2 linked regions of the Caenorhabditis elegans genome follow. The protein of the gene in region 1 interacts with the protein of each later gene in a pairwise test. Each region holds a gene or a part of one and is shown on either strand. Other genes may lie near its edges.

Region 1 (4,350 bases):
AAAATATTTATATTCCAACATTTCAGGCGTTCGGAAGTGCCTAAGATTTCTCGAAAAGTAAAGTTACCTCAGTTTTCCAGCTTCAATAATATCACTTACTGACGTTACTCCATTTTTGTTTATACTATTTTATATCTGCATCTCAGACATTGATGTATACAGTTTTGCAGAAAAGACTTTCTTTACAATTTGGATTTTTTGGCTCTTGACTTTTGTAAACATGTAAACCAAATTAAAAAAAACTAAATATTAATCAGCTTTAACTTAATGCAATTTTTTTGGAAAATAACACGTTGAGTAGATACTTCAGAAAGTTATTTTCTCACGTACACTATATTAGCATTTAAAAGACCGTTTTTTTAAAATTATACCATTTTTTACGATGTCCCAAATTTCATACCAACGTTATTTTTTCAAGATAAGAATGGAAACAAACAGTCTTGAGTTGTGTTTTTTCCTAGCTTCTGGAAATGGAATACATGGTGAACAATCATAAAATATTTACAACTTATGACTTGTCAGGAAACTGAATTATACACGCGGGACGCGTCAAAAGACAAGAAAGCATCACATCTTGTCATTGAAAATGTATCAGAATGGTTTAATTTTGTGTTATATAATGTTGTTTTCTTTATAGTGTAAAAGAACTCCACAGAAGTCATAACCCATATCATAAGCTATTTTCATGGGTAGAACCCACTAATGGTCGAAACATATAATTAAGCTCATTTTACTTAACACCCCTCGTTGCTGCAGGTCATTACAGTAGTCAGAACGATATTCTCAGGGATCTCCTATCTTTATCCTCTGTGGTATGTGCGCGAGAGTCATGTGGATGTTGTCTGCCCTGACAGCCAGCTGCCTTTCCAGTCGCCTTCTTCTCCTTGTTTTATGTCTTCGAGTTTACGACCGTGGCCGTTAACCCTTGAATTTCCTATTCAATACCTTTTGGCTTTTGCTTCATGTGTCTATGCGTATGGGTTGTACCGAGTCTGAGACATGTATGCTTTATTTCTTGTCAGATACTCAAAATTAGTTTTCGAAGAAATGATTTATTACACAAGCAAGCACATTAATAAATCTGTAACGACGTGAGTGGAATGATTGAAATGGCAAAACAAAATTAAACGGGGCTTGAATTATACTACGATAGTTGCTTTAACATTGATATTGGTTTTTCGGTGACTACCAATCATCAATAAATCATTTCAAAAAAAAAGAGAGAAAGGGATTTATTTCTTTCCATAACCACCACCAGAATAACCACCACGTGCTGGCTTCTCGGGCTCATCATTGGTATCCAACTCGGAAACGGACGGGGCAACAATCTCCTGAACTCCGCAAGATGATGGGCAATGTCCTCCTGGTTCTCCGGAATCTCCTGGTGGCCCGAATGGCCCCGGTGGTCCTGGCTCTCCCCTTGGTCCTGGTGGTCCTGGTGGTCCCATTTCTCCAATCGGTCCTGGTGGCCCACTGTTCTGAGATGGCAATCCATTCGAACCTGGTGGTCCTTTTGGTCCTCTTGGTCCTGGTGGACCTGGTGGCCCCTTAATGCCAGTTCCTCCAATCGAATCATCTCCTGGTGGTCCTTTGATTCCCGGCTCTCCTTGCTCTCCTGGTTCACCTTGTGGTCCAGCATCTCCAACGCGTCCGGGCTTTCCTGGTCTTCCTGGAAGACCTGGATGTCCTGATTCACCAGTCTGTCCTGGACGTCCAACTTCTCCCTGTGGTCCTCGAGTTCCTGGTGGGCCAGCCGGACAAATTACGCATGGGAATGCTGGTTCTGGATCGAGTGGTACATCAAGCCCATCAAGTCCAGGCTTTCCTGGTCGCCCATTAGCTCCATCCATTCCAGGTTCTCCACTAACTCCTGGTGGTCCAATTGGCCCTGGTGGGCATCGTAGTTGAACACAAGATGTGCATTGTTGGTTGTCGGATTGAGCACTATCACTTCCGTATCCCCCATATTGTCTTTTGATTCTTCCATTGCTCTTCACCAAAACAATGTCATGCCAAATGTTGCGAGCAACGAACTGGAATAAACTATGGTTGTTTTTTGTTTTCATTACTTCTCTACTAGATCTCCAAGTTTTATTCTCTGATTTTTGTTTTTTTTTTCATACATTTTCTACATCTTCTACTTATTTTGCTTGCACATCTAGTTTTCACGCATTAGTGTTCACGCATACGTTCACGCATACGCACCACCAACCTTGAAGGAGCCCATTCTATTTTGAAGACGTTCGTGAGCCTCGTCCAACTGAATGCTGAGCATTGTCAAGACTGCTCCAAGAATGAGCACACTGGCAATGCTGAGTGACACGGTGGCTTTTGCCACGTGGTTGGCCCCCGAACTGGGCTTCTCCATTTATCTGGAACAAAATGTAAGAATATTCTTAAAAATTGTTTCATTCAGAATGAATCTTGTTTTGTTTTCACAGAGCGGTAGAAAAAATATTTCGAGTTTTGACAAAAAATATAAATTAAAAAAAAGAACAGGGTGTGATAAATGAATTGAATTGAAAAGAACATGGATTGTAGAAAACGGAAAGGTGGATGAAGGTGGAGTGTATCTGTTAAATAGGTCAGTCTTTATCGACACAATAACCCAATTATCGGAGATAAGAAAAGATTCCAAACGAGAAGAGATGAGTACATGCGAAAAAGGAATGTAGAATATAAGGGATGTGTTGCGAGAAATCGTGGAATGAGATTACAAATAGATTGTTCCCGAGAGGTCACTGATGTCTCCGTTACCGCTGCTGCCGCTGCCGCCGCTACCGGAGAGACTTTCGATCACACGAGCGTCCTTCTGAAATGTGTACAGTTGCAAAACGTTGGATAAGAACATTTATCAACTAGGAATGCAAAAATCCTATTAGAACTCACAGGCGTCAGAGACATTCTTGCAAATGGGCATGCCAACGGTTGATTGGAGCTCGTGGATGGTTGGTTGGAGCTCGAACACTCACCATTTCCAGACGATGCAGTTGTTGCTGAGGTGGATGCCACATTCTTAAACTAAACATCTCTAAAACTTTTTGAAACATTCGAACTAACGTCTTCCAATAGCTGCTGCGTAGCGTGGTGCAAAACCGTGTTTTTTTTCATTTGAGCTTCATGGTCAGTTTTTCTGTTCTCATCAAATCCAGCTCTCATCTGATCCACCAAGCAAGCGGTAAAAATTACCCAAGCCTGTCCAGCTCCCGGAAGATCTCGCACTGCCTCTTGCGCCAGTACCACATCAATCATCACTTCTCCAAACTTTTCCCAGTAGTTTCCAGCAAGACCATATGGCTTCAAGATGCTATGTGCACGTCCTACAAATGAGTATATTTAGCAAAAAAAAACCCTTCTAAACATATGCTGCATACCAATTACTCTCGGGTCGTTTTCAGAGCTAGTGTCCGTTCTCTTCGACTTTTCCACATCAAAATTCTTTATGACAGAGTCAATCATTTTCACACAGTTTTTTGAGTGATCCCGTAATGTGGAAGTAGTTCCACGTGACATTGCACATAGAAACATCCTCGTCGAGAACATATCTCTTATGTTTGGCAGATTTTTCACGAGCTTGTCAAAAACCTGTAGTTTTATTTTTACTATGAAACTCATCTCACAACGAAGCTTACTTCTTCAAAAACATTTTCCACTCTTTTTCCTCCGTTTCTAGTCTGTAGTCGGTGCCAGGTGAATCTGATTGCACGCTTCTGTATTTTGCTCAAGCGAGTGTCGTAGATGTAGTGTTTCAAGGCAGGCGTCGGTGGTGCTGCTGGAATAGAAGTTCGCAATAATTGGAAATAAAAAAAAAATGTTTCAAACTAAAATTACCTTGTTGTTGTAAATCATAGATACTTGGCATACTGCTGCTTTTTCTTGCTTGCTTGCCGTCTTCCATGTTTGAGTCGACCGATCCTCCACCAGTTTTCTTTCGAACGGTCCGGCTAGAACTCACGCTTCGCATTATGAAAATGTGAAATAACTACGGTATTTTTTCATGATCATAAAATAATGTCATGCTTGTGATTCCCTATGCCATATGTGTTTCTCGCAACAGAAAAAAAGATAACGAGGTGCCAGATTGACGAATTAGTTGTGGGCGACAGGCGATGTAAAGACAATATTTAATGGGTTTTAAGAAATGGTCATGCTGATATTGCACGAAACTTTTAATCAAGGAAGTAAATTTTCAACAAAAAAAACTTCAAAAATCAACAATCTAGTAATACCTTCGTTTCGGCCTGAACTGTGAAGATTCTCCCCCGCGGTCATCTCCTGTTGGGCTAGACTCGCTTCCTCTCCAGTTTGCCTTTAAAAAAATCATGGTTCTTATTAGTTTTTCATGGGTTT
Region 2 (4,332 bases), on another chromosome or scaffold:
TTCGTATCTATAATTTAAAGCAAAACCCCCAAAGAACGCTCCCAAATTTTTTATATAAAAGAAGAAAACGGAATTAAAAATAACTAACAACACCGACAAAAAATATTCCAAAAATGTTAGGACAACTCACAACATAAGAATTAGAATGTCGCCAGGACCAGGAATTTGTAGAATCACAATGAGTGTGAGCATTTTGATCAATTCGCTTCCACTCTAGATAATTTGCTAGTATTTTGACTATCCTTGTAATAGAAAATAAAAACAAAAAGGGAGAATTTGAGTCTATTCATGAAGAAAAAGAACAACGAATAGACCCTTTTCCGTAGTTTATTTCTACCTGAACAAGTGTCTCCAATTCCTCAACGCTGAGATCTGTGAGCTTCTTCTGACCGGTAGCCACAGCTCGTTTCGTCTTGAAATACATTTTCACATCGGCAAAGCACCATCGAGAGCCTGAATATATGATTCACAAGATGATATTGTAATCTTACACGATTTTGGCATTCCTTCATGAAGGTGTACGGATTTATTCAGATGAGTCACGGGGCGAAGTTTAAGTTGCCATAAACTTTGCGCCGAGACCCATCTGAATAAATCCGTGCGACTTTAAGAGAGCATGTCAAGATCTCTGAATAAAAATAAAAAAGATCAGAAAATGTCATTTTTGAATTTCAAAAGTAAGTAAGTTAATCGGAGAACTCCCTCACCTTCAAGAACAGTCCTGTGAAGTGCCAACACTTTAGGCCATTTTCCAATAAATTGTTCATACTTGTAGGTCAAGGATCCTTCTTTAGCTGGAGTGGCTGGAGGTGGACCGGCTGATGTTTGTCTGAAGTAGAACACATTTTTTAGAGGGATAATATTGAATTTAACGGATACTCAGAATAAAACAGGTTTTAATGATGAAAAGGTCTACCTAACAGCAACAAGAAAAGTAGGCGAATTGAGCACACTGTTACTGCGATGAAGAAGAATCCTTGACAATGAGTGCATCTGTTTGAAAAAAAGTAGTTTTGTCAAGGAAAAACAAACGAAAAAGTAGAAAAGGCACAGAACCTCATGGATAATTGAAATAATTGTGTCAGGAATAGTAGATAAAACTTCATGTTATTTCCTGAAACTAATAGTATAACAGGCAGGCTAGAATCATAACCATGATCACAGGTTTGTGGGAATCAAAATGACTGGAATGGGAATAAAATGGCAAATTTTGGGCGGAGACAGGAAGTTAAAATACATATATGTACAACTATGTACCAGGGATCGAAATATATAATTAGAGTATACATGTTTACCCATGAGTGTTCAGAGATAAACGTGAAAATATGAAAGACATTGATTTTACTAGAGACGCGTGACTTGGGGAGTTCCAACAGACGTGCTACTGTTGATGCGAATGAGATGGCGATAATCAGTGCCGTTTGCTTCCTTTTCTTGTGGATTTTGTACATTTTTTAGCTCCTCATCAAGTTCGTAAAGCGTGCTTTCAAGTGATTCGTCTTCCTCCTCATTGCCATCTAAAATTGTTACAAATAATCAAAATAATAACCGTAAACTCGACTTACGTTCATCGTCATATAATGCTTGCAAATCTTCTTCCGTCTTTTCGAGCATCCTCAATTCTCTAATTTTTGCATCGAGCATGAATCGTAACTGAATCGACCGCATGCTCAATTCCACGATTCTTGCTACATCTTTGAAGACCAGAACGAGACTGACTTGAAGACACTGAGCAATTGATTCGACGATTTCTGCATGGGAGGCAGTGACGACGCTTTTTTCATTGACAGCAATGACCATGTCGCCTAAAATTGCAGTAGTTGGCAGGAAAAGCTGAATTAAATGATTGAATACCTCGTGTTATCCCGCAGCGATCAGCTGGGCTATCAGCCGACACGTAATCCACATAAGTTATTCTTTCGTAACTGTTTGAAGATGTTCTTTTGAATACATATGATTGGAGAGCAAAGCCAAAGGAAGTTTCAAATGTTTGACGACATAGAAGAAGGCTCCGTTGTGCGGATTCTTGATTGATCCCATCGAAAAGATAATCATTCAGTGGATATTCTTCCTGTAGTAACGAATATTATGGTTGTTCTTCAATGGAGAATCAAATAATTACTTTTGCGTCACACAATAGTCGCTGTTCAGAAATATTGTCATCCGGCGTATCATATTTTGAAGAGCTCGAACTCGTGGAAACCGCACTATGAGCGTCGATGTGATCCATAAAAGCAGAAACTCTGAAATAACATATATTAAACAAAAAAACATGTTTTTAGAGTTTTTTAAATGTTTAAACAACACAAGACTCGAAACAAAGTCGATAAGTTGTAAAATTGGTGAGAAGATGAAAGGAAAAGCTAGAGACGAGAAACATGTACGCAAGCGCCAGATTCGACGCGCAAAGTTTATAATGGGAAATTCGGTAATAACTTTAGAAGAAAGCATATAAAATTATTAAACTTAAGTAAAAAGTGACTAAAACACAATCATCATGCAAAAAAATAAACGACTAAAAGACCAAACAAATGACTAGCGCGTGCGCACCTTTTCTTATTTGTTGTTGAAATATATGAAGGTTACGGTATTTACTGAAACACGCAAACACATGACACGCTTTCGAAATTTCAGCTTTCGAAAACTCGTTCCTAAATACTTTTCCTACTTTTGTGAAAATTCCCTTGATTTTTGTCAAAATAAGGATCATTCGCGATGAATGATTCTTATGCTGAATATATAGCACAAGTAAATGAGTTTACGAGGAATTTCTGTATGAATCCTCAGCGATATCTCGCTGGTAATCAGAGAGGTTTGTGGAAACTTTTAATGACCTAAGTTTCAAGTCGATTTTCAGATTTATCCCAGCCGCTTCCTCCACCTGTACTCTCTGGTGAAGCAGTTCTACCAACCAGTACTTCTGTTCCTCAGCAAATCGCGCAAACGGTTTTACTTTGTTTTCATATTCTGATTGATAAAATATGTTTCCAGAACATGGTTCGCTCAAGTGAAGTACCACCTCAATCTCTTCGACAGGAAATTCAATCATTTACATCGTCAGAGGTGCCCACTAGTAGTCAAGTTGCTGGAGTGAGAAACTCGTTCACACAAAGGCTTCTCCCAATCCAAGAATTGTCGAATTCCGAATCTGTCCCAGCCTTAGATACTGCGCTTGTTCCTTCCAGTTCCACTTTGGCAGCTTCATCACAACGTCGTCTTTCATCTCAATCAATTCCTGTCCTGGTTGGTTTTAACTTTTAATTCCCGTTTAATGAATTTTATTGACAGACACGCAAACTCGGTTCAGTTCAGCCTAAAGTGGATGAAGCTCCAGCTGAAATTATAAGAGAAGTGAACAACTTAAATATTCATCATGGAGCCAACAATCAGGGTGAAGTTCCGTCTTCCGAGTTGAACGCTGATCTCGATGGGGTTTTTGAAATGGTCCAGCGTCATCAGTTCCCGGTAAATTAGAGCTTTGCAGTTCTCTCAAAATTTTTTAGTTGCAGCGTCCAAGTGTATTGATTCCAGCAGAACAAATTGAACAAAGTACATGGCTTTCTGAGTCAAATGATGCTGCTATTAACATTTCTCAAAACAATGACGTCATCGATCCAAATAAAACAATACCATTCATTGCCAGCGGAAAGAGTATTGAAAACATTGATCTTCCATATCTTCCGGGTCAAACGGTTTTTCCTAACATGTTCACTGAATTAACTGCTCGTCTACGTTCCCAAGAGAGGGAAGAACTTCTCCGGCGAGAGTTGAATGAACTTAGTATGAATCAAGGAACATCAAATCAGTTTGATCAACAGCAAATGGTTTAAAAAAATTAAGAAAATGGGATTTAAATTAAATTCATTTTTTAGAATTCTCGTGTCATTCCGAATTCAATGGGTACTCTATGGGAATCATCAGAAACTGGTCAACAAGGTGGTACATCTTCCTCGTCTACCGTCCAAGCATTTCAACAAATGAACCAAACAGAGTACTGCAATTTGGCGACAGATATTCTTATCAATATGGATAACACAGAGCTGAAAAATGTTACAGACGCTTAGTGAGTTGTCCTAATGAATTATTATTTTAATAGAACACGATTTTTTAGCTTTGAGAGCAATGTACGCACCAAGTTCAAGGCAACGTATCCCTTCTTAGCAGAGGGAATGATCCAGAGAGATAGTCAATCGGATCCCAAAATGCTTCACGTGTACTCATCACGTCTCGGTCATATTAGAATTCCGGACACCCGCGCAGATACAAAAGATTATGTCTACTTCATGGTCATTAATCCAGGCGAATATGGAGGAGTTAGTTATAATACGAAAT

The links. The genes of interacting proteins can lie anywhere in the genome.
Region 2: the proteins of dpy-7 (region 1) and gras-1 interact in a two-hybrid assay, tested with the Caenorhabditis elegans proteins (one large-scale study listed by BioGRID).

The regions. Positions count from the first base shown.
Region 1 is NC_003284.9:7,535,421-7,539,770, forward strand, and holds dpy-7 (Cuticle collagen dpy-7), read right to left. Parts: upstream 2,373-4,350; 5' UTR 2,369-2,372; coding exon 2,213-2,368; intron 2,034-2,212; coding exon 1,233-2,033; 3' UTR 1,047-1,232; downstream 1-1,046. Other genes in the region: glb-16 (GLOBIN domain-containing protein), read right to left, coding at 2,714-2,812, 2,890-3,015, 3,061-3,320, 3,375-3,585, 3,633-3,772, 3,832-3,944, 4,230-4,309. UniProt on the Caenorhabditis elegans protein: Nematode cuticles are composed largely of collagen-like proteins. The cuticle functions both as an exoskeleton and as a barrier to protect the worm from its environment. Mutations in dpy-7 affects the body shape.
Region 2 is NC_003279.8:7,833,725-7,838,056, reverse strand, and holds gras-1 (General receptor for phosphoinositides 1-associated scaffold protein 1 homolog), read right to left. Parts: upstream 2,250-4,332; 5' UTR 2,231-2,249; coding exon 2,123-2,230; intron 2,072-2,122; coding exon 1,855-2,071; intron 1,806-1,854; coding exon 1,566-1,805; intron 1,518-1,565; coding exon 1,345-1,517; 3' UTR 1,090-1,344; downstream 1-1,089. Other genes in the region: F30F8.9 (Letm1 RBD domain-containing protein), read right to left, coding at 338-453, 708-829, 917-993; F30F8.1 (RING-type domain-containing protein), read left to right, coding at 2,716-2,812, 2,858-2,946, 2,992-3,243, 3,289-3,465, 3,510-3,824, 3,873-4,063, 4,112-4,313.